Anolis sagrei: one gene and its partners. The protein of the gene in region 1 purifies or fractionates together with the protein of each later gene. This does not show direct contact. Links are inferred from orthologs where the notes say so. Each region holds a gene or a part of one and is shown in the gene's direction. Other genes may lie near its edges. The genes, in order: DUSP8, MAPK9 and MAPK8.

Evidence for each region.
Region 2: the proteins of DUSP8 (region 1) and MAPK9 purify together in Homo sapiens (affinity purification with mass spectrometry; 4 studies listed by BioGRID and IntAct, with this or other methods). This does not show direct contact. The link is inferred for Anolis sagrei from reciprocal best matches to the Homo sapiens genes DUSP8 and MAPK9.
Region 3: the proteins of DUSP8 (region 1) and MAPK8 purify together in Homo sapiens (affinity purification with mass spectrometry; 3 studies listed by BioGRID and IntAct, counting the BioPlex papers as one, with this or other methods). This does not show direct contact. The link is inferred for Anolis sagrei from reciprocal best matches to the Homo sapiens genes DUSP8 and MAPK8.

Annotation. Positions count from the first base shown.
Region 1 is NC_090021.1:243,965,487-243,972,621, reverse strand, and holds the start of DUSP8 (dual specificity protein phosphatase 8), read left to right. Parts: upstream 1-4,067; 5' UTR 4,068-4,155; intron 4,156-7,135. UniProt on the Homo sapiens protein: Has phosphatase activity with synthetic phosphatase substrates and negatively regulates mitogen-activated protein kinase activity, presumably by catalysing their dephosphorylation.
Region 2 is NC_090022.1:87,597,491-87,605,080, forward strand, and holds the start of MAPK9 (mitogen-activated protein kinase 9), read left to right. Parts: upstream 1-4,491; 5' UTR 4,492-4,631; intron 4,632-7,590. UniProt on the Homo sapiens protein: Serine/threonine-protein kinase involved in various processes such as cell proliferation, differentiation, migration, transformation and programmed cell death.
Region 3 is NC_090023.1:142,173,284-142,180,343, reverse strand, and holds the start of MAPK8 (mitogen-activated protein kinase 8), read left to right. Parts: upstream 1-4,040; 5' UTR 4,041-4,196; intron 4,197-7,060. UniProt on the Homo sapiens protein: Serine/threonine-protein kinase involved in various processes such as cell proliferation, differentiation, migration, transformation and programmed cell death.

The DNA of each region.
Region 1 (7,135 bases):
CTACCTGGATATCCCAGGGACAACACGACAGCCTCTAATCCCAAAGTACTAGCTTAATTTGGCATCCAAAACCAGGTAACAAGAGATTTGCACCCTAGAATGGAGGTGTGTCATTATATTCAATACCTGTGTTATAGGCCCGTAGCCAGGATTTTGATTCGGGGGGGGGGGGGGGGAGCTGAGTCTGGGTGAAAGAGGGTCTACCCTAGCAAACCTTTTGTATCATTACCCCAATACCCCCATACATATGGGATATATTGAGAATGGTGATCAGATCATGATATTAATAAACATAACAGTTTAAATAATGTACCAGTAAAGCCTTCTCGCCGACCACCATGAGAATTTCGGGGGGGGGGGGGGGCTGAAGCCCCTATAGCCCCCCCCCCCCCCCGGCTACATGCCTGCTGTGTTAGAAAGGACTGTCCCTCAATTATGTCATTTAAGGGGGAAATAGCACAATTCTGTTAAAGGAAGAAATGGGCCGTGGTTAGTATGGAAAATAGAGTTGTGCACAACTGTGATGGTATAAACAAAACCACCATCAACTGCAAATATGAGTGGCTTATGAAATTTAGCTCTGAATATTATTTTTCCACCCACAGCACTAGATTATGGATAGTGTTGAAACCAACTCACAGCACACACTGAAATATATGTATGAGAATGACTCCTGCACTATTATGACATCATTGCTTTACCTATGATTTAATCCACCGTCCTTTGAATTGACCTTCCAGACCAGTACATACTCATCTGCCTGCCATCACCCTGCAGGAAGCACAGCCCAGGTGTGGCTATATTCTGACCAGCAGTCATTTAGTCCATTCCTGGAGATCAAATCCTTCTTCATGCAGCAGCCAAGCCAATACCACTGTCTCAAGGTCTAGAGCAGTGTTTCTCAACTTGGGAGTTGGGACCCCGGGGGGTGGGGGGTCATGAGGAGATTTCAGAGAGGTCACCAAAGACCATCAGAAAACCTATACTTATAGGAACCCCTTTGGCAGAGAAGGCTGAAGATCTCTCCATCAGATGTGAATGCTCCCACCAAAAGCCCTCCTCAGTTGTGATTGGCTAGCTGTTTCTGAGACTCCAAGCCGGGGGGGGGGGGGGGGGGGGAGAGGAGGGGAAGGGAGAGGAAGCATGCTTGGCGCATGGTAGCATGGTGTACATGAGTGAGCAAGGGAGAGCATGTGAGGCTGGAGGGAGGCTCACGGCAGCAAGTCCCTTCAAGGCACAAGAGTTCTGTGTGGGAAGTTTGGCTCAATTCTATTGTTGGTGGGGTTCAAAATGCACTGTGATTGTAAGTGAACTATAAATCCCAGCAACGACAACTCCCAAATGTCAGGGTCTATTTTCCCCAAACTCCACCAGTGTTCATATTTGGGCATATTGGGTATTCGTGCCAAGTTTGGTGCAAATCCATCATTGTTTGAATCCACAGTGCTCCCTGGATGTAGGTGAACTACAGCTCCAAAACTCAAGGTCAATGCCCACCAGATGTTTCCAGTATTTTCTCTTGGTCATGGGAGTTCTGTGTGCCAAGTTTGGCTCAATTCTATCATTGGTGGAGTTCAGAATGCTCTTTGATTTTAGGTGAACTATAAATTCCAGCAACAGCAACTACAACTCCCAAATGACAAAATCAACCCCTCCACCCAACCCCACCAATATTCAAATTGGGGCATATTGGGTATTTGTGCCAAATTTCATCCAGTGAATGAAAATACATCCTGCTTTTCAGAGATTTACATGACGATTCAGAGCAGTAGCAAAATTACAGTTATGAAGTAACAACGAAAATAATGTTATGGTTGGGGGTCACCACAACATGAGGAACTGTAGTATTAAGGGGTCGCGGCACTAGGAAGGTTGAGAAACACTGCTCTAGTGGGTTGGGAGGTATCCCAGTCCCTCTTCCTGCAAAGAAGCCTTTCTCTACCTTCGCCTGTAAATGCAAATCCTATTTGGTCCAAGCCAACAATGTGATGCAGCAGCAAAAAAAAAGCCAATGGGATTTTGGCCTGCATCAATAGGAGCATAGTGTCTAGATCCAGGGAAGTCATGCTACCTCTCTATTCTGCCTTGGTTAGACCACACCTGGAATATTGTGTCCAATTCTGGGCACCGCAATTGAAGAGAGATATTGACAACCTGGTATGTGTCCAGAGGAGGGTGACTAAAGTGATCAATGGTCTGGAGAACAAGCCCTAGGAGGAGCGACTTAAAGAGCTGGACATGTTTAGCCTGAAGAAGAGAAGGCTGAGAGGAGACATGATAGCCATCAATAAATATGTGGGAGGAAGTCACAGGGAGGAGGGAGCAAGCTTGTTTTCTGCTTCCCTGGAGACTAGGACACGGAACAATGGCTTCAAACTACAAGAAAGGAGATTCCATCTGAACATGAGGAAGAACTTCCTGACTGTGAGAGCTGTTCAGCAATGGAACTCTATGCTCCTGAGTGTGGTGGAGGCTTCTTCTTTGGAAGCTTTTAAACAAAGGCTGGATGGCCATCTGTCAGGGGTGCTTTGAATGCAATTTTCCTGCTTCTTGACAGGGGGTCGGACTGGATGGCCCATGAGGTCTCTTCCAACTCTATGATTCTATGATTCTTTGAATGGACAGTGCTTTTTCCCCCCCTCCACTGCTGCATTCCCTGCACCAGGGCTGGAACATTTCCCGGTGAGAGTATGATAGCTGGGTCTGGAAGCTCCGAGTGTTAACAGAGATGTTGCAAAGGCGGCTGTGAATAAGGGAAGAGAAGGGGCGGAGTGAAGGCAGGGAGAGCGAAGGAAAGCTAGAAAGGAAAGGACGCTTAGGGTAAGGGTTAGGGCAAGGTTTAGGGTTTAGGTTAGGGTTACGGTAAGGGTTAGGGTTAAGGTAAGGGCAAGGTTTAGGGTTTGGGTTAGTGTAAAGGTTAGGGTAAGGTTTAGGGTTTGGGTTTGGGCAAGGTTTAGGGTTTGGGATTGTGTTAGTGTAAGGGTTAGGGTAAGGTTTGGGGTTTGGGTTAGGGTTATGTTTAGGGTAGGGGTTAGGGGTTACGGTTAGGGTATGGTTAAGGGTTAGGGTAGGGGTTAGGTTTAGTGAAAGGGTTAGGGTAAGGTTCAGGGTTTGGGTTAGGGTCAGGGTTTGAGTTAGCATAAGGGTTAGGGTAAGGTTTAGGGTTTGGGTTAGGATATGGTTTAGGGTTTGGGTTTTGGGAAATGGGTTAGGCTTACAATATGGTTCAGGGTGAGGGTGAGGGTTTCACCCTCAAAGAAGGCTTCCATGCCTTCTATATGATCTGTCTCCTCCGGCCTGGCTGCCATGAGCGAAGTCTCTCTTGCGCCAAGAGCCCTCCCGAAGGAGCGATGCGGCATCTCCGTAACGCTCGGAGCTTCCGGGCCCAGCTCTCAGGCTATTCCCCATTCCCCATTGAAGGGGAGCCATTGGGAGGGGATGAGGCCGTGAAGCGAGCTGGGGAGGCGAAAGAGGAAGCGGGAAGCCCTCGTCCCTTGTCAGCGGCGGCGGCGGCGGCAACGGAGCCTTCCCCTGGCCCGCCTCCTCCCGTTGAATCTGCACCCAAAGCCCCAGGATCAGAGGCTGACGTCATCCTGCCCCTGAGCCTCCCTCGCTGATTGGCTGCGGGTGACGTCAGGGGCGCTTCTTTTTTTCTTTCTTTTTTTTCCACCGAGGCATGACCTCATCCTCAGTTCATTTTTAGTTCCAAAGGGCAACCTCCAGTCCTGCCTTCCTGGAGCCCTTCACAGCCTGGATCAGGCTGAGCTCCATTAAATCCCCCCTCCTCTCCTCTCCTCTCCTCTCCCCACCCCCGGCCTCCTGCTGTTGCTCGGTTCCACGGGAGGGAGGGAGAGAAGGAGAGAAGGAGAGAGAGAGGGGGGGTGCGCGCGCACCTACCCGCTCACTCCTCCCGGGCTGCCCACGCTCCTCGGCGGCGGCGGGGCTGGCACCATGCGCGCGTGCCAGGGAGGCTGCGCGCGCGTGCTTGCAGAGGGCTAGCAGCCCTTGCCTCCCCTCCAGAGCTCGCTCCCTGCCTCCCTCCCTCCCCCGCCCCTCTCTCCCCGATCCTCTCCTCTCCTCTCGCTCCTGGCGAATGCGCAGACCTTTGCAAGGCAGCCCGGGTGGCGCAGGCTTGCAGGAGGAAGTGCCAGGAGGGTAAGTAAGCATGCCCTTGCTTGGAGCGGGGCTGGCGGGGGGCACACACGCCAAGGGGAAGGCACTCCGGGCTCGCCGGAAACCTTGCGGTCGTTCCCTTTCAATGGTGCCTGGGGTTGGTCCACCTGCAGCCCTGAGAGAGAGGGCGCGGAGATGCTTTGGGAGGCATACCTTTCGGACTTGCCGCATCCAGACCCACCCGCTGCCGTGGGGATCCGCTGCTTTTGGAGCCCCCTTCGGGGCCTGCCTTCGTGTGTGTGTGTGTGTGCAAAACGGGATTAGGAAGAGAGATGGGCAAGCAAGGTCGGGGCTGGCCAGAGCCACCCGCCTCGCAAGGTCGGGCTCCCATGCCAGGGGAAGAGGGCGCGCGGGGATGGGCATGGGCATGGGGATGGGGATGGGCATGCCTCTGGGCACGGTGTCTGCGGAATCCGAGTATCCTGAACTCGCTCACGGGAGCGCATCGCTGTGGTGCAGAGCCGAGAGAGCCCTGCAGCCTGCCAATCGCATATTTATGACGTGTGTTTAAGTAACAGGAGGAGGATTAAACACGGGATGGAAGAGAAGGGAAGGAAGGGAGAAATCCGATTACCCCGAGGACGCAATGAAAGCCCAGGATGGAGGAGGAAAAGCTCGGGACGTCCGTCTTGCTGCGCATTGCAAGGCTGGATCCAGGCTGCCATAGACTGCTATTCAGACTGAAAAGGCATTATAGGACTCTGCTGATCTATGTATTGTCGAAAGCTTTCATGGCCGGAATCACTGGGTTGTTGTAGGTTTTTCGGGCTGTATGGCCATGTTCTAGAAGCACTCTCTCCTGACGTTTCGCCCATTTAAGGTGGAATCAGGTGTGTTATTGCCACAACCTTATTTTCCATCTTCATCGCTATGATACTTCCTCTTGTTGATGGGAAGCTTCCCACCGGAGTGGGAGGTGTTAGCTGGCCCTGGTTGTTTCTTGTCTGGAATTCTCCTGTTTTCTGAGTGTTGTTTTTTTTTATTTACTGTCCTGATTTTAGAGGGTTTTTTAAAATGCTAATCAAGGTGGCCAGTTGCAACACCCTGGACATTCTACAGATATATGAACCCCACTTAGTTTCCAACAGACCTCACAACCTCTGAGGATGGCTGCCATAGGTGCAGGCAAAACATCAGGAGAAAATGCTTCTAGAACATGGCCATACAACCTGAAAAACCTACAACAACTCATCTACTTATGAACACTGACCATACAATGCAGTTCCGAACAGGCATTCTATAGCAGTGTGAATCCTCCCCAAGCAGGGCATTGCCTTTGCTAGATTGAACGCCACACAGGCAAATCCCAGCTGCAGTGTTTTCCCAGGAAGAGGAGAATGTCCTCTCTCTATTCCTTTTGGAGGAGGAATTGGGTGTTCTTATTGGAAGGGTCTCACGAGTTTCCCCTTGGATTGACGGGCCAGTGTTCTTGTAGTTGTGTCTATTAAGGTTTACTGCTCAAGATCCTTTAGCAGGTTGGAAGGATCAGAGAAAAGCCAGTCTGCAGCTTTATCCCTCAGTAAATAAGAGGGAATTAAACACTCTTTTAATGAAAAGGCCCTCTAGCAGGTATGAATAAGAGCTCCTGCCAGGCAACCATATTGGAGTGGTGATTCAGCACTTGGGGTCTTTAAATGCCTGCCTGCCTGCCTGCCTGCCTGCAGGGACACCTATGCAGGAGAGCTGTGCAGTCCAGTCCCACCTACTAAGCAACCACACTGTTCTGCAGAGAGACTGGGATCATCCACTGCACCTCTCCAAAATGATAAAAGCACAGAGTAGAGAGGTGTATCTGTCTCCTGGTGGCATAGCTGTGATCCTAGTGGAAATAAACATGAGAAGTGATACAGGTGAGGATGGGGAAGATGCTGGATAGGCGTCCCCTTGTTAGAGGGAATGAGAATGTCTTCTTCTTGCAGGGCTTGTCAACAAGTTAAACATAATGTCATTCACCGGCTAAAAAAGACAATGGGATTTTGGCCTGCATCATAGGAGCATAGTGTCTAGATCCAGAGAAGTCATGCTGCCCCTCTATTCTGCCTTGGTTAGACCACATCTGGAATAGTGTGTCCAGTTCTGAGTTGAAGGGAGATGTTGACAAGCTGGAATTGTCCAGAATTGTCCAGAAGAGGAATTGTCCAGAAGAGGACGACTCAAATGATAAAGGGCCTGGAGAACAAGCCCTATGAGGAGCAGCTTAAAGAGTTGGGCATGTTTAGCCTGCAGAAGAGAAGGCTGAGAGGAGGCATGATGGCCATGTATGAGGGGGAGACATAGGGAGGAGGGAGCAAGCTTGTTTTCTGCTGCTCTGGAGACTGGGATGTGGAACAATGGCTTCAAACTACAGGAAAGGAGATTCCACCTGACCATTAAGAAAAACTTCCTGACCATGAGAACTGTTCAGCAATGGAACTCTCTGCCCTGGAGTGTAGTGGAGGCTTCTTCTTTGGAGGCTTTTAAACAGATGCTGGTTGGCTATCTGTTGGAGGTGCTTTGAATGCAATTTTCCTGCTTCTTGGCAGGGGGTTGGACTAAATTGCCCACAAGGTCTCTTCCAACTCTATGCTTCTATGATTCGTGGCTGGGCATAGGGATGTGACTGAGTGCAAGAAGAAGATCCAGACCTTCTTCTTTTATACAGTTTGTGCACCCATGGTGGCAACCTGTTTCTTAACATCTTTTAAATGTAAAGGGGTTTCTATCTATTTCTTGTATAGGAATCTTACCAATCCTAACTCAAAACCTCTGATTTGTAGTATTTCCTAGGTACAGGTAGAGCATCCCTTATTATGTGGAATACCAAAATTCTCCCAAATCCAAAATTGTGGGTGGCTGAGACTTTCATTTTCTGTTGGTTCAACATGTACACACAAAATGTGCATACACACAATTATTAAATGTGCTGTTTATAAAATTCCTGAAGAACTATGCATATAAAGCAGGCATGGGCAAACTTGGGCCC
Region 2 (7,590 bases), on another chromosome or scaffold:
CTGTACACGCATCGACATTGGAATAGCCTGGTCTACGCGTTTGGATCATGTGATTTTAATGTTTTTATTAGGTGTTTTAATTCTTATATTTCACATTTTAAATGTCTTTTTTTCCTTATCTTATAGTAAATTGTCCTATTAATTTTATGATTAATTATATGGTGTTGATTTGTGATTTGGTTTATGTATGTAAGACATTGAATTTTGCCATTATTTCTGTGTAACCCGCTTTGAGTCCCCCCAGGGGTGAGAAAAGCAGTATATAAATACTGTAAATAAATAAGCAAAGGGAAAAAATCCCCCTTCTGAAACTGCTATACCTGGAACTGTGGTTTTCCCTTTTAAACAAGGTTAGCCTCCCCTGTGCCTTTTGAAAAGTCAAAGGTGTTAGAAAATTTGATGCTTAGACCAGTTTGTTTGGTGTTTATTACTTATTTATTATTTAAAACATTTATATTCCACCCTTCTAACCAGGAAGAGGACTCAGGGCGGAGCACAGCATATATACGGCAAACATTCAATGCCAGGATAAGAATTCATTATATGCATACATAAACATTAAAAACATTTGTCTAAATATTAAAATACACTGTTTAAAACTGTCTTGATCATCTGCGTCCAATCTAATTGGCCTGGTAAGGTTTCCTATTGCTGCTTTATTGCATCATCCTGAAAGCTTGGTCTCACAGCCAAGCTTGTGGGACCAAATTTGTGGGGAAAGGAGTACACAGAGGTCTTAGGCATGGAAAAGTGGGCCCTGGATCTTGCTTTAGCGGTATTCAAAATTGTAGTTTAGGATAGGGCTCTACAGAGAAGAAAAGCTTAACATTTTAAAAGTCTGAAATCACCAGTGACAGTGAAAATGCCTGAGCAGCTGGGGTTTCACCTATAAAGAGATGTTGAGGTGGTTCAACGAGTATATCTCAATATGAGTACAATTGGCCCTTTGTATTAGCTGGGGTTTGGTTCCAGGACACTCTTTGGATACTAAAATCCATGGATGCTCAAGTACCATTATAAACAATGTTATGGTAAATTAATGTCTTAAACAAAATGGCAAAATCAAGGTTTGTTTTTTGGATTTTGGGTGGGGGCGGGCAGGGATATTTACAAGCCCGTGGATGATTGAATCTATGGATAAAGAATTCAAGGAAACAGAAACAACTGTATAGCTCAATGACACTATCAATTTAGTGTGTGGTAATAATTTTTATACCCTGCCTCCATCTCCCCAAAGGGACTCAGGGCTGCTTAGACATGGGACAAAACGTCCACAGTAGGTAAAGGTTTTCCCCTGACATTAAGTCCAGTCGTGTCCGACTCTGGGGTGTGGTGCTCATCTCTATTTCTAAGCCGAAGAGCCGGCATTGTCCGTAGACACCTCCAAGGTCATGCGGCTGGCATGACTCAGTACATAAGGCAAAAACATAAAAGCAAAACAATCCATTAAAAACAAAATACAATTAAAATAAAACATACCAAAACAAAACATAATCAGATAAAACACAAATAAATGGGTATAAAAACATCAGCCTTAAAGCTCAGACAATACACAACAAAAACCAATAGCCAGAAATACTAAGGTGGTAGCTAGTTATAGAAAAGATATAAAAGGATGAAGTTGGGCAAGAAAGGAGCTTTGTGATGCCTCTGTGCTCTTGTATCCAAAGATTCTAACCTGTCTATCTTATTGAAAACTGAAGTACTAATTGCCCCAAAAGAATTGTGTACATAAACATCCTTTAAAAAAAAGGCAGCCTTTGCATCCCAAACTAAAAGAGGGCAGGCATGTATGATAGGACGGATATTCACAAATTGTGGAATATCCTTCCCTCAGAGATCCATTGGGTATCCAACATTGATACAAAGCATTCTGGCACTGAGTAAGCACATTTTTTTTATTAAACCCTTTGAAGTCAACTTGATTTTAATTCAATTTTATCATTTGCAAAGTTTCAGGTGATTCTCACTTATTTTAAATTGCCTATTCTAAAAAGTATAACCATACAATATAGTCTGTCTTAAATTGTGTTTGTCTATGCCACCTTTGGATTCTTGTGTTTAGGGTGGCATCTGCTGTGTATGATTGTATATGGATAGATAGCAAGCCACGATTGAAATATAAGTACCTATATACAGGGGCAAATTAGATATTTCTTTCCTACACTAGAATTCTGAATCTTCCTGGCAAATATCTTCATACAAATCACAGTTAATTGATAAAATTACCTGCCACAAGATGTAATTACCACTAGCTTGCATAACTTTGAAAGGGAATTACACAAATAGATATGTCTTATGCATGGCCCCAAGTAATGGTATGTTGTTTGAAACTATCAACTTCAGGGAAGCACCATTTGCTGGGAATTAATAGGAGAGAGCTATTACTTTTACTCCTTATAGAATTGTCAGTGAGCCATTAGGACACTATTGTGGCAAACAGAGATGAGTTGGCCATACAAGGCACCATGTGCCATTTCTCCAGTCCTATGCCTTCAAATCAGCATAAACCCTATAAATCTACATGCTTGCCCTTCATCATGTTCTCCCTCTATTGAGAATGGCAATTGTGAATGGCCTTCAACTATAAAATGAGCACAAAAACTGGTTGGCTCAAACCTTACCCTGAAATCTTTGACGGAACAAGAGGACAAACTTTTTACATATACAACGACCACTGCTAGAATTGTTTTTGCTAGAGAGTGGAAGCAAGGCACAGTACCACCCGTACAGGATTGGGTGGAAAAAATCAGAGAAATAAAGGACATGGACGAACTGACTTTTTTGTTGAAGAAAAATACAGGCATGATAATAAAAAGAACGAATTGGGACAATCTTCATGACTATCTGGACAATTTGCGAATATAAAAAAACAAGAGAGACAATTTTATTATCTTTAATAAAAAAAATATATTTTTGAATAACAAGAATATTTTATCCAAGAAGATGGAATGGAAGTCACTTTTTTTCTTTATTTTTATTTTTCTATTTTTTTTGTATGTGGATTTTGTAGGGTTTTATTTAGGATATCTTTTTTTACTTCTTACTTTATTGGCCTTTCCCTCTCTCTTTTTTCTTTACTTTTCTATACCTAATTGTTCTCACTCTTTCGTTGTATTCTATATAAAATTTAATAAAATTCCTTTAAAAAACACACAGTTACAATTAACACAATTAATTGAAATGAGGACAGAGTGATCAAACTGCCACTTTAAATATGTATCTCATTGCTAGGTCAAGGCAGATTTATCTCATTGTTGGGGGTGCTTTTTTCTATTTACAATCATAGTGCTTGAGTCAGCTGTTTTTCCTTGCCCATGACATACCACTTTTTGAACTACAATTTGATTTATATGCTGACACTGACCAGGATTGGGTCAAGATGGAAAAAGTGGACCAGGAGCACTCAAATTAGCCAAAACTAAGATGCATCCATTTAAACATCATGTGCTGCAGGTATACTGAAGTAGGATCCAACTCATAATAAACATCTATTAATTGGTGCCTCACTGGCTTTGGAAAGTCCTTTTGGTTTGTACATATGAGTACAGACAGAAAGAAGAAAACATGTTCCTCTCAGTTTTTCCCTTCAAGTATTTTGATAACTAATATTGATTATGTTTTCCTTCCTGCCCTTCCACACAACCATATAACTTAGAATATCAAGGCAAAATAACCCACAACATCTGCTTTGAATTGAGTTATCTAAGTCCACACTGCCAAATATTTAAAGATTGAACTGCAAAGACTCTGGCACAAGCCAGTCAAGGTGGTCCCAGTGATGATCGACACACTGGGTGCAGTGCCTAAAGACCTTGGCCTGCACTTAAACACAATTGGCGCTGACAAAATTACCATCGGCCAGCTGCAGAGGGCCACCCTATTGGGATCTGCACAGATTATTTGCTGATACATCACACAGTCCTAGACACTTGGGAAGTGTCCGACGTGTGATCCAATTCAACAGCCAGCAGAGTGATCTTCTCTGCTGTGAACTCATCTTGTGTTTCTAATAATAATAATAATAATAATAATTGGGAAGCGTTCGACTTGTGATTTTGTGATATGAAGTCCAGCATATAGCTCTCATTTGCTGTGACATACTGTGTTTTTGTCTGTATAATAATAATAATAATAATAATAATAACAATAATAATAGTCCTAGACGCTTGAGAAGTGTTCAACTTGTGATTTTGTCATACGAAATCCAGCATATAGATCTCGTTTGCTGTGACATACTGTGCTTTTGTGTCAATAATAATAATAATAATAGGACTCCGGACTCGACAGTGAGGGAGAGTGTCAAATTCAAAGGCAGATGACATGAGCTCAAAAGCTTCCCTCGTCCCCTCCCTGCTTCCTTCCCCTCCCTCGGTGACACAGGAAGGCGCGCAGAGCGCCTCCCGCCATATATAGTGGCCTTTAAGCCCCGCCTCCGAGGGCTGGTTGGTTGAGCCTGGGAGGTCCTCAGCGCGGATTGGGCGCGCGGGTGTCCGTCAGCAGATCGGGGCCTGGTGCGGCCTGTGAGAGACTGAGGGAGGCCATTGCAGCTGGAGAGTCTGGGGAGCCTCTGGAGGGAACGAGCGCCGCCGCCGCCGCCGAGTGCGCCTCCCAGAGCGGGTGTCGCGGAGGTGAGGCAGGCCGAAGGAGGCGCCGCCGACGGTGCGGCCGAGGAGCGAGCGGGATTTCTGCGGGGAGGAGGGGAGGGGGGCCGAGCCACCTTGAGGGGGGCGGCGGCGGCGGCTACGACCATCCGCCTCGGCCTGCGCCCCCGCCTAGAGCCATTCCTGGCCTGGGACTCGCCCGACGAGGCCTCGGAGATCGGGGCGACCTTTACCCCCCCCCCGCGCCTTGCCCATTCCCCTCTCGGGGGCCGCACTCCCCTCCGCCTCGCCTGCTCTTTGGCCAGGAGAAGAGGCTTGGGATGCGGCTTGGCCCCGGAGAGGGTTTTTGGCCCTTGTTCGTGAAGGGCCAGGCCTCCTCCTTGGGCCAGCAGCCTCTCCCGAGCCACCCCCCCCCTTCCCCCGCCACTTGCACCCATCGTTTTCACGGGCTAGGCATATGGCGCTTTCTGGAGGTGAGCATCTTGCAATCATCAGTGCAGGGAACTGTCTCTGCTGGCCATAGTGGGCATCCAGATGTTGAATTGCGAATCTCAGCATTGGCTTACGGTTGTGGACCCTTGTTTTAAGGTTTGGAGGATGCGATGGGCAAGGTCTCCTTTTTTGGCGAGGAGAAAGACTTTCAGGAAAGCCATTTCCCCTCCTGGTCCACTCACACATCCTCTTCATCATCCCTGCTTGAGGTGAACATCATGCATTAATCAGTGAATCCAGCTGTCTCTTCTGGCAATAGCAATGGTTCTCAACCTGCGGGACCCCAGATGTTTTGGCCTTCGGCTCCCGGAAATCCAAACAGCTGGTAAGCTGGTTGGGATTTCTAGGAATTGTAGGCCAAACCATCTGTGGACCCACAGGTTGAGAACCACTGGGAAATAGGGTCTTGTGGGCCTCCAGGTGTTGAAGCACAAATCTAGGCGTGATGCTAGCTGAGGCCCTACAACATCTGGAAGGTACTATGATTCCCACCCTAGTCTATGACATGGGGTAGTTAAGGAGATGGGAATTAGTAGCACAATTCTGCACCTGTTCATTTGAAAGTAGGGTTTCAAATGAATTTACTAATGAGGTTTACTTTTAAGGGTCAATTGCACAAGTTCCATTTTGTGTAACTACAAAATGCCATCTCAAACCAGCCACAATATATTGCACTATTTTTATTGGAGATGTTGGTGTTGGAGGCAGTTCTAGACTCTTCGTGGATGGCACTTATTTTATTCCAGTGTTTATAGCCTGGCCACGCTGCCATCAATTTACCTCCACGGTTAGAGGATTGCAGTCTGAATTGATGTTTTTATATGTCCATTGTTTTATTGTATTGTATTTTACGTTGTGTTTACTTTTATGTTTGTTTGTGCCATCTGTAAGCTGCCCCAAGTCCCTTTGGGGAGATAGTGGTGGGATATAAGAATAAAATAGTTATCATCATCATTATTACTTTGCTTTGCATGTAGGTGTCTGTTTGTTTCTTCTTTTAAAAAGTTATGTATGTGAGATTGTTAAGTCTGGGTTGTGTTATATCCTGCTGTCCTCAAATTCATATACTGCCTTTTAAGATTGGTTGTTGGACTGATTTGTTTCTACTGATTGGTTAGGGCAGTTAGTTTCTTTACTAGCAAAAGATTGTTCTCTTCCTATAGTATGTCTCAGTCATGATGTTTATTTTATTTTCTTCAATTTTATTACTGTTTATCGATTACTTTCCTTATATGAAAAATACATTAATAACTTTCTTGAACATATGTTCACTATTGGGAGAAATCACTAATTCCTAAGACAGCGGGAAAGTGATTTTGGGAGATTTGACTTGTCAGATTACTATATAAGTTGACTGTGCAATCAGTAAATGTAGGGTTTACAACAGATGTTGCAATCATGGAGACTCAAATCCAAATCCAATATGTTTTCTGTTGGATAAATCTACAGAAAACCAAAACTAGCTGACATTTTGGAGCTGCACCTCTATAACAAATTGTGTTGTTATCTATTCCCATGCAACTCTGTTGTACACAAATACACTCAGTGAGATTTACTTTCACATGTGTTTCTCATGAAGGCGACAATGACCTAGCATAGTTAATAAGCTATATGCTATGGTTTGAGCGCACATGTTTACCAGTACATGCAATGTCATAGTATCAGTAACTTCTAATTTATATACTTTATAGGGAATGATCATGTAATTTCTGCTCTTGCAGTTTAGTAGACATGGAAGCGTACTTCTTGTTTTAGGGAGTATTACTTAATTTTAGTGCAGATGCATATTTTACATTTCAATGAATAAATAATATATGTTAGCTAATCTTGTGATTTTTTTTATTTGAAGATTTTCTTACATATATATATCATAGAACATGACCAAGCATTATACAATCTTCAGTTTTCACAACAGTGACATAAGATGCCATTTGGTGCATTTGCAGTGGCACTTTACTGCTGGTTCATACCTGGATGTGCTCCAATCAATGTATGATTCACTTTTGACCAGCTGTATTTTAGTATTCAATCACTACTGGAAGATTCTGTGGTGGTTCATTCCTGTTTCCCTTGGGTGCTTGAGAGAAATAATACAGTTCAGGAATAGTATGTAACTGCCATGTATTCTGGACAAAACTTGTGTACGCATACCTCCAGTCTTCTTTTATGTAATGGTGTATGGTAGAATTGCTGTTTTCTTCTTAGCTTCAGTAAAACCCAGAGGAAAAACAGTACCCTGTTCTTCATCTATACAAATAATATCAAAGTAACCTACTGTAGCTACCCAAAAGATGATTTAAAAAACCGAGTTTACTTATACAGGCCATCCTCAAGTTATAAACATCCAATGTACAAACAACTCATAGTTACGACCGGGCCTCCCCCCTCCCCCCCGCCATGAAATCTTAGCGCTGAGCCAAAGTGTGCCTGTATCTTTCCACCCCTTTCCTTTTTCTTTCTATCGGTATCTCTCCAACCCCACTTCTTATGAATC
Region 3 (7,060 bases), on another chromosome or scaffold:
TCAATCTATCCCATATGCATGGGAGTATTGGGGTAATGATACAAAAGGTTTGCTAGGCTAGACCCTCTTTCACTCAGACTCAGCCCCCCCCCCGAAACTCAGCCCCCCCTGAAATTTTTTTAGCCCCCCCCCCCCCCCCCCCCGAAACAAAATCCTGGCTACGGGCCTGTTTCATATGTTTCTCCAAGCTGCTCATTTTCATTGGCAACAATCTCTCATGATCTTTGTTCCTTTTCCCTCAACAAATGTTGGGTATGTGTGCCACAATATGAATGAACGATAATTCCTAAAATCATGGGTCATTTCCCCCAGAACTCTGTCAGTATTCAAAGTTGGTCATGTTTGATAAATGTGCCATGCTTGGTCCAGATCCATCACTGGTGGGAGTTTGTTGGGAGAAGCACATGAGTGAAGCCGGCAAAGTGAATGAGCAAAAGGAAGACATATAGCAGCAAGGCATTACCACTGGCAAAGTGTACTCATATTGCACAATTGCTGTAGTTTGATGCCACTTTAACAGCCATGGCTCCACCCTATGGAATCCTGGAATCTGTGGTTTGGTAAGGAACTTGGAACTCTCCACTGTATTCTTACGCTGTAGGACAGAGAGCTGACAGTGAATTCTAAGTCCTTATCAAATTACAAGACCCAGAATTCTGTGGGATGGACCCATGACCGTTAAAGTGGTGTTGTAACTTCAACTATAGGGGGAACATAGATATATCCCAGGTTTCTTACTCTTAAAAATCTGTGGCACTTGAAGGTTGCTCAGTACAATGAACCACAATGCTGATAGGCCTATCTTGAGGTGGTCACTATGCTCAGTTGAATAAAAGATTGGAAAATCGAGTCTCTGCATTTATTTACAGATTTTACTGTTCATTTGTATGCTGGAATACAAACACAGACTTCACATTTGAAACAAAATTGTGCTGGATCAGGTTAATGATTCAGTAGAGCAGTGTTTCTCAAACTGTGCTCCTCCAGGTGTTTTGGACTTCAGCTCCTAGAAATCCCAGCCAGCATACAAGCTGTTAGAACTGTGGGAGCTGAAACCCAAAACATCTGAGGAAGCACAGTTTGAGAAACCCTTCAATAGAGAAAAGCAAATACAAACACCCTCTGGACAAATTTTGCTAAGATAACCTCACGATAAAGACCTACCTTAGAGTCACTATATTTATTTATTTTATTTATTTACTTTACTTATATACCGCTGTTCTCAGCCCGAAGGTGACTCACAGCAGTTCACAACAAATAATGTCAGAAATGACTTGAAGTAATACAAGAGATTCCTCCGTGGGAATTGCAAAGCAGGATATTATATACTATCTTAGGTACCCAGTGATGTAATTTGGCTATGTAATCTGGTAAGGATAAACATTAGAAAAAGTAATTGTGTGTTTTTGGATGTTATGAGTGGTCCCGTTAGAAAATGCATATGGATCAGGGTGAGCTGCAAGTCCCACTATCATCTGTTATTTTCCCCCAACGTTGGGCATGTTGAGTCTGTGTGCCAAGGCTGGTTCAGATCAGTTGCTGGTTGGGTTCACAGTGCTCTCTGGATGCAGGTAAACTGCAAGTCCTGAAATTCAAGGTCAATTCCCCCAAAACCCACCACTATTCAAAGTTGAACATGTGGGGTATGTGTGCCACATGAGGTCCAGATCCATTTTCAGCTGGGTTCACCATGCTCTCTGGATGCAGATGAACTACAACTCCCAAAAGTCAAGGTTAACCCCCGCTCCATACCCCACCGGTATTCTAAGTTGGGTATGTTGGATTTGTGTGCCAAGTTTGATTCAGATCCGTCATTGGACTGGGTTCACAGTGCTCTCCGGATGTGGGTGAATGGCAACTCCCAAAATTCATTGAAAGCCACTTCCCCCCATGTATTTAAAATTGGGCATGTGTAGCAAGTGTGGTTCGGATTCATCATTGGCTGGGTTCACAGTGCTTGCTGGATGTGGATGAACTACAACTCCCGAAATCATGGGTCAGTCTATTCTAAACCCCCCAGTATTCAAAGTTGACCATGTTGGGTATGTGTGCCAAGTTTGGTCCAGGTCTGTTGTCAGCTGGGTTCAGGGTGCCATCTGGATGTGGGTGAACTATAACTCCTGAAATCTAGAGTCAATCCCCCCACAAAGCCCTCCAGTATGTTCTGTTGGTTGACAGAAAAGGCTGCTGGCAAAAAAGATAAGACTGGTGAAATGTCTGCCCTTAGAGGCTGAGAAAGTATTGAAGAGAAACAACTGGAAAAGCTGACATGATACAAGGATTTAAAGATCGAACTGCAAAGACTCTGGCACAAGCCAGTCAAGGTGGTCCCGGTGGTGATCGGCACACTGGGTGCAGTGCCTAAAGACCTTGACCTGCACTTAAAACACAATTGGCGCTGACAAAATTACCATCTGCCAGCTGCAAAAGGCCACCTTACTGGGATCTGCACGCATTATTCGCCAATACATCACACAGTCCTAGTCACTTGGGAAGTGTCTGACGTGTGATCCAATACAACAGCCAGCAGAGTGTCTGCTGTGGACTCATCTTGTGTTTCTAATAATAATAATCATAATCAAATCATAATAAACTTTATTTATAACCCGCCACCATCTCCCCAAAGGGGACTCGGGACGGCTAACATGAGGCCAAGCCCAAAAATAACACAGCATAATTAGACACAAAAACAACAGAAAAATGTTGTTGTTCATTCGTTCAGTCGTCTCCGACTCTTTGTGACCTCATGGACCAGCCCATGCCAGAGCTCCCTGTCGGCCGTCACCACCCCCAGCTCCTTCAAGGTCAGTCCAGTCACTTCAAGGATGCCATCCATCCATCTTGCCCTTGGTCGGCCCCTCTTCCTTTTACCTTCCACTTTCCCCAGCATAATTGTCTTCTCTAGGCTTTGCTGTCTTCTCATGATGTGGCCAAAATACTTCCACTTTGTCTCTAGTATCCTTCCCTCCAGTGAGCAGCCGGGCTTTATTTCCTGGAGGATGGACTGTTTGGATCTTCTCGCAGTCCAAGGCACTCTCAGCACTTTCCTCCAGCACCACAGCTCAAAGGCATCTATCTTCCTTCGCTCAGCCTTCCCTAAGGTCCAGCTCTCACATCCGTAGGTGACTACAGGGAATACCATGGCTTTGACTAGGCGGATCTTTGTTGCCAGTCTGATGTCTCTGCTCTTTACTATTTTATCGAGACTGGACATTGCTCTCCGCCCAAGAAGTAAGCGTCTTCTGATTTCCTGGCCACAGTCTGCATCTGCAGTAATCTTTGCACCTAGAAATACAAAGTCTGTCACGGCCTCCACATTTTCTCCCTCTATTTTCCAGTTGTCAATCATTCTTGTTGCCATAATCTTGGTTTTTTTGATGTTTAGCTGCAACCCGGCTTTTGCGAACAGAAAAATACATCACAACAAAATACATAATATAACAAAATAAAATAAACAGTGCAAAATAACATAATAAAATCAAACACAAAGGGCGGGCCAAATGCATGAGATAAAATGTTAAAGCAGAATATTATATTTCAAACAGATTATGAAAACGAAGGCAGGTATCACACTAGAAGAAGAGGCAAGGAGTCTGCAAGCCATGTGGCTGCCTCCTCCTCCTGCGGAATTCTGGGACTTGTTGTTTAGAGGAGAGGCCTTTGAAAGGCTCAGCCAAGAGAGGCCCTGGGCCTCACTCAACTACAACTCCCAGAATTCTGCAGGAGGAGGCAGCAGCAGCGACAGGGTGACAGGTGGGCGGCCTCCTCTCTCAGCGCCAATGAGTGGGGTATAGCGTGAAGCCCCCTCGAGAAGCGCGCGCTGCGTGGCCATAGCAACCCATTCGGCGCCCTTGGACAAATCACAGTCTCCCATCTTCAAGGGGGACGCCAAGGCCGCGTTCAGTCTGAACCCAACCGGAAGGGGCTGGAAGGCGCGCCAAGCACTGCCCCCCCCCCAGGCAGCCAGGGGGAGGGGCTGCCACGCGCAGGTGCGGCGCCGGTGACGTCACTCCGCCTGGTCACCCCGAGCGGCGGATGCGGAAGCGGCCCACCAACCACCGCAGACCGGAAGCGCCGCCGCGGTGCCCATCCCGCCTATGCCTCAGTCCCTGCTTAGTCGCCCGGGGAGGAGGAGGAGAAGGAGGAGCGCCGCAGTCCGGCGCCGGCCGCCACCCGCCTCGGGTGCTCTCTGCCGGGTGAGCCAGCCTGGAGGGGCGGGAAGGCTTGGTCAGCGCGGCCTTGGCCGGCCTCGGGGTGGGAGAAGGAGGAGGAGGGGGGCGAGAGAGGGAGGCTGGGTCTGGCGAGAGGCGCAGGCAGGCTGGAGGCCCCGCCTGAGGGAAAGGGATAGCGGACCTGTGTTTATCTCATGGCTGAGGAAGCAGTGCACGTCCATGTGTGAGGAAGCGGACCTTACTGAAATCAAGATCAGCTGCCTTCACATCATTCCCTTCATCTACCAAGCTTGTAACTGTCGAGCAAAATACTCCTGTACTCCTGTACTGGGTTGCTGTGGGTTTTATTGTGCTGTATGGCCATGTTCCAGTAGCATTCTCTTCTGACGTTTCTCCTGCATCTATGGCAGGCATCCTCGGGGTTTTGAGGTCTGTGGGAATGAGGCAAGTGGGGTCATTGGAATGTCCAGGGTGGGGGAAAGAACTGTTTGTCTGTTTGAGGCAAGTGTGATTATTGCAATTGGCCAGCTTGATTAGCAACTGAAAAGCCCTGCAGCTGCAAAGCCTGGCGGTTTCTGCCTGGGGACGTGCTTTGTTTGAGAGATGTAAACTGCACTTGGTTGTTTTGTCGAAGTGAGACCTCACTACCTCTGAGGATGCTTGCCATAGATGCATGCGAAACGTCAGGGGAAAATGCCTCTAGAACTTGGCCATATAGCCCGGAAAATCCTACAACAACCCACTGGCACTTGATTGCTGACTAGAGTTCCCCTGCTTCTGAGAGCCCTTCCACACATTCCTATATCCCAGAATATCAAGGCAGAAAATCCCACAATATCTACTTTGAACTGGGCTATCTGAGTCTACACTGCCATATATTCTAGTTCAAAGCAGAAAATGTGAGATTTTCTGCCTTGATATTCTGGGATATAGGGATGTGTGGAAGAGCCCTGAATGGTGTTCTTTATTTGCTGTCTTGATTCTGGTGTTTTTTTTTAATACTGGTAATCAGATTTTATTTATTTTCATGGTTCTCTCCTTTTTGTTGAAATTGTCCACATGCTTGTGGATTTTGATGACTTCTCTATGTAGTCTGACATATTGGTTGTCAAAGTGGTCCAGCATTTCTGTGTTTTCAAATAGTATTCAGTGTCCAGGTTGGTTTAGCAAAAGGTGCCCCCAGGCAACAATAGCCAGGCTTTGCCACTGTAAGGCTACTCAGTTGTTAATCAAGCTGGCTAATTGCAACATTCACACTTGCCTCAAATAAACAAGAGTTCACACTGGATTTTCCACACACACACACATTTAATCTGAGAATTCCCACAGACTTCTCCCTCTAGTTGTCAACACAACTAGAATCCCCACAGACCTCTGAACAAACCTGTGAGGATGCCTGCCATAGATGCAGGTGAAACGTCAGGAGAGAATGCTTCTGGAACATGGCCATACAGCACAAAAAAATTCACAGCAACTCAGTGATTCAGCAACACATACTCCTGAACTGTTATGCAGTCCTGTCTTTTCTCTGTCCCGTTTTAGCATTTCACTATCATCTCTACACAGTCACCCTCCCTTTTCCTTGTTCTTCCTCTCCGCATATCAAATATGTCCCACATCTTATTAATCTGTGCACCATTTTTGTCTTCTAATGAATGGGTGCAATGATTAATAAGAGTGGGCCAAATTTTATATGGGAGAAGAAAGGTAAAAAAACCTTCAAACATACATTTATATTACCTAGTGAACAGAAAACAGCCATACCAGTGGCTCTTAAAATATAAACCATGAGCTCCATATCATTTTAAATTATCTTTAAATGTTTTTGTAACTTTAATAAGTTTTATTTGGTGTAAGCTATTGTGAAAGTGAAAATGTATTAATCTTTTGATTAGCCTGGAAAATATTGCCATTATTTGCTCTTCCCAAGTGCCACTGCCAGAACTCAGAATCTAATGAGGAAAGTACAGGTTGAGTGTTTTTAATTCTCAAATACTCCACAGTTGTACACGATAGTGACCTTTTGTGTACACATAAAATTATTACATTATTTTATAGGCTGTGTGTATAAGGTGTGTATGAAGCACAAGTGGATTTCATGTTTGGGCTTGGGCCTCATCTCCAAGATATCTCATTATGCACATACAAATATTCCAAAATCTGAAATCCAAAACCCTAATGGTCCTTACCAGTTTGAATCAGGGATACTCAACCTGTATTTTGTTCATTCTGTAGAGATGCAATCTACAAAGAGTGTTATCCCCAATCTGAAATCATTTCACTGGGAAACCCTACTCTGCAAAAGAGAGGTTACCAGTACATCTGCAACAGTGGTGTTTTTTTGGATTTGACAAGGCAACTGCTTCTGGGTACCAAACAACATAAGTGACTACGGTCAAAAGATAGGTATTCTTCCTGGTTGCTGTAGGGGCCCTTCCACACAGTCCTATATTCCAGAATATCAAGGCAGAAAATCCCACATTATCTGCGTGTTCAAAGCAGATATTGTGGGATTTTCTGCCTTGATATTCTGGGATATTGGGCAGTGTGGAAGGGCCCTCGGTAAGTGACCCTTAATATCTATGCCTACTCATTTAAAAGAGTCTTCAATCACAGGCATTGGATGGAGTTTTGTCTCTACTAGTACCTATTCATTGACCTATTTCAGAGGTTCCGTGAAAAATTACTAACTTGTTAACCCACCTTTGTTCAGTAAAAGTTTTGAGTCAGATGGTGGGATGGCTTACTTATCGCTCATTGTCAACCGAAAGAGCTTGAGTGAGCCATCTCCAGCATCCTTTCCTTATATTTGGTACCACAGCAAAACATATGGATTTTCCCACATTTTTAATAGCTGTCTTGCAATATAGCTTGCCTTGCAAATATAC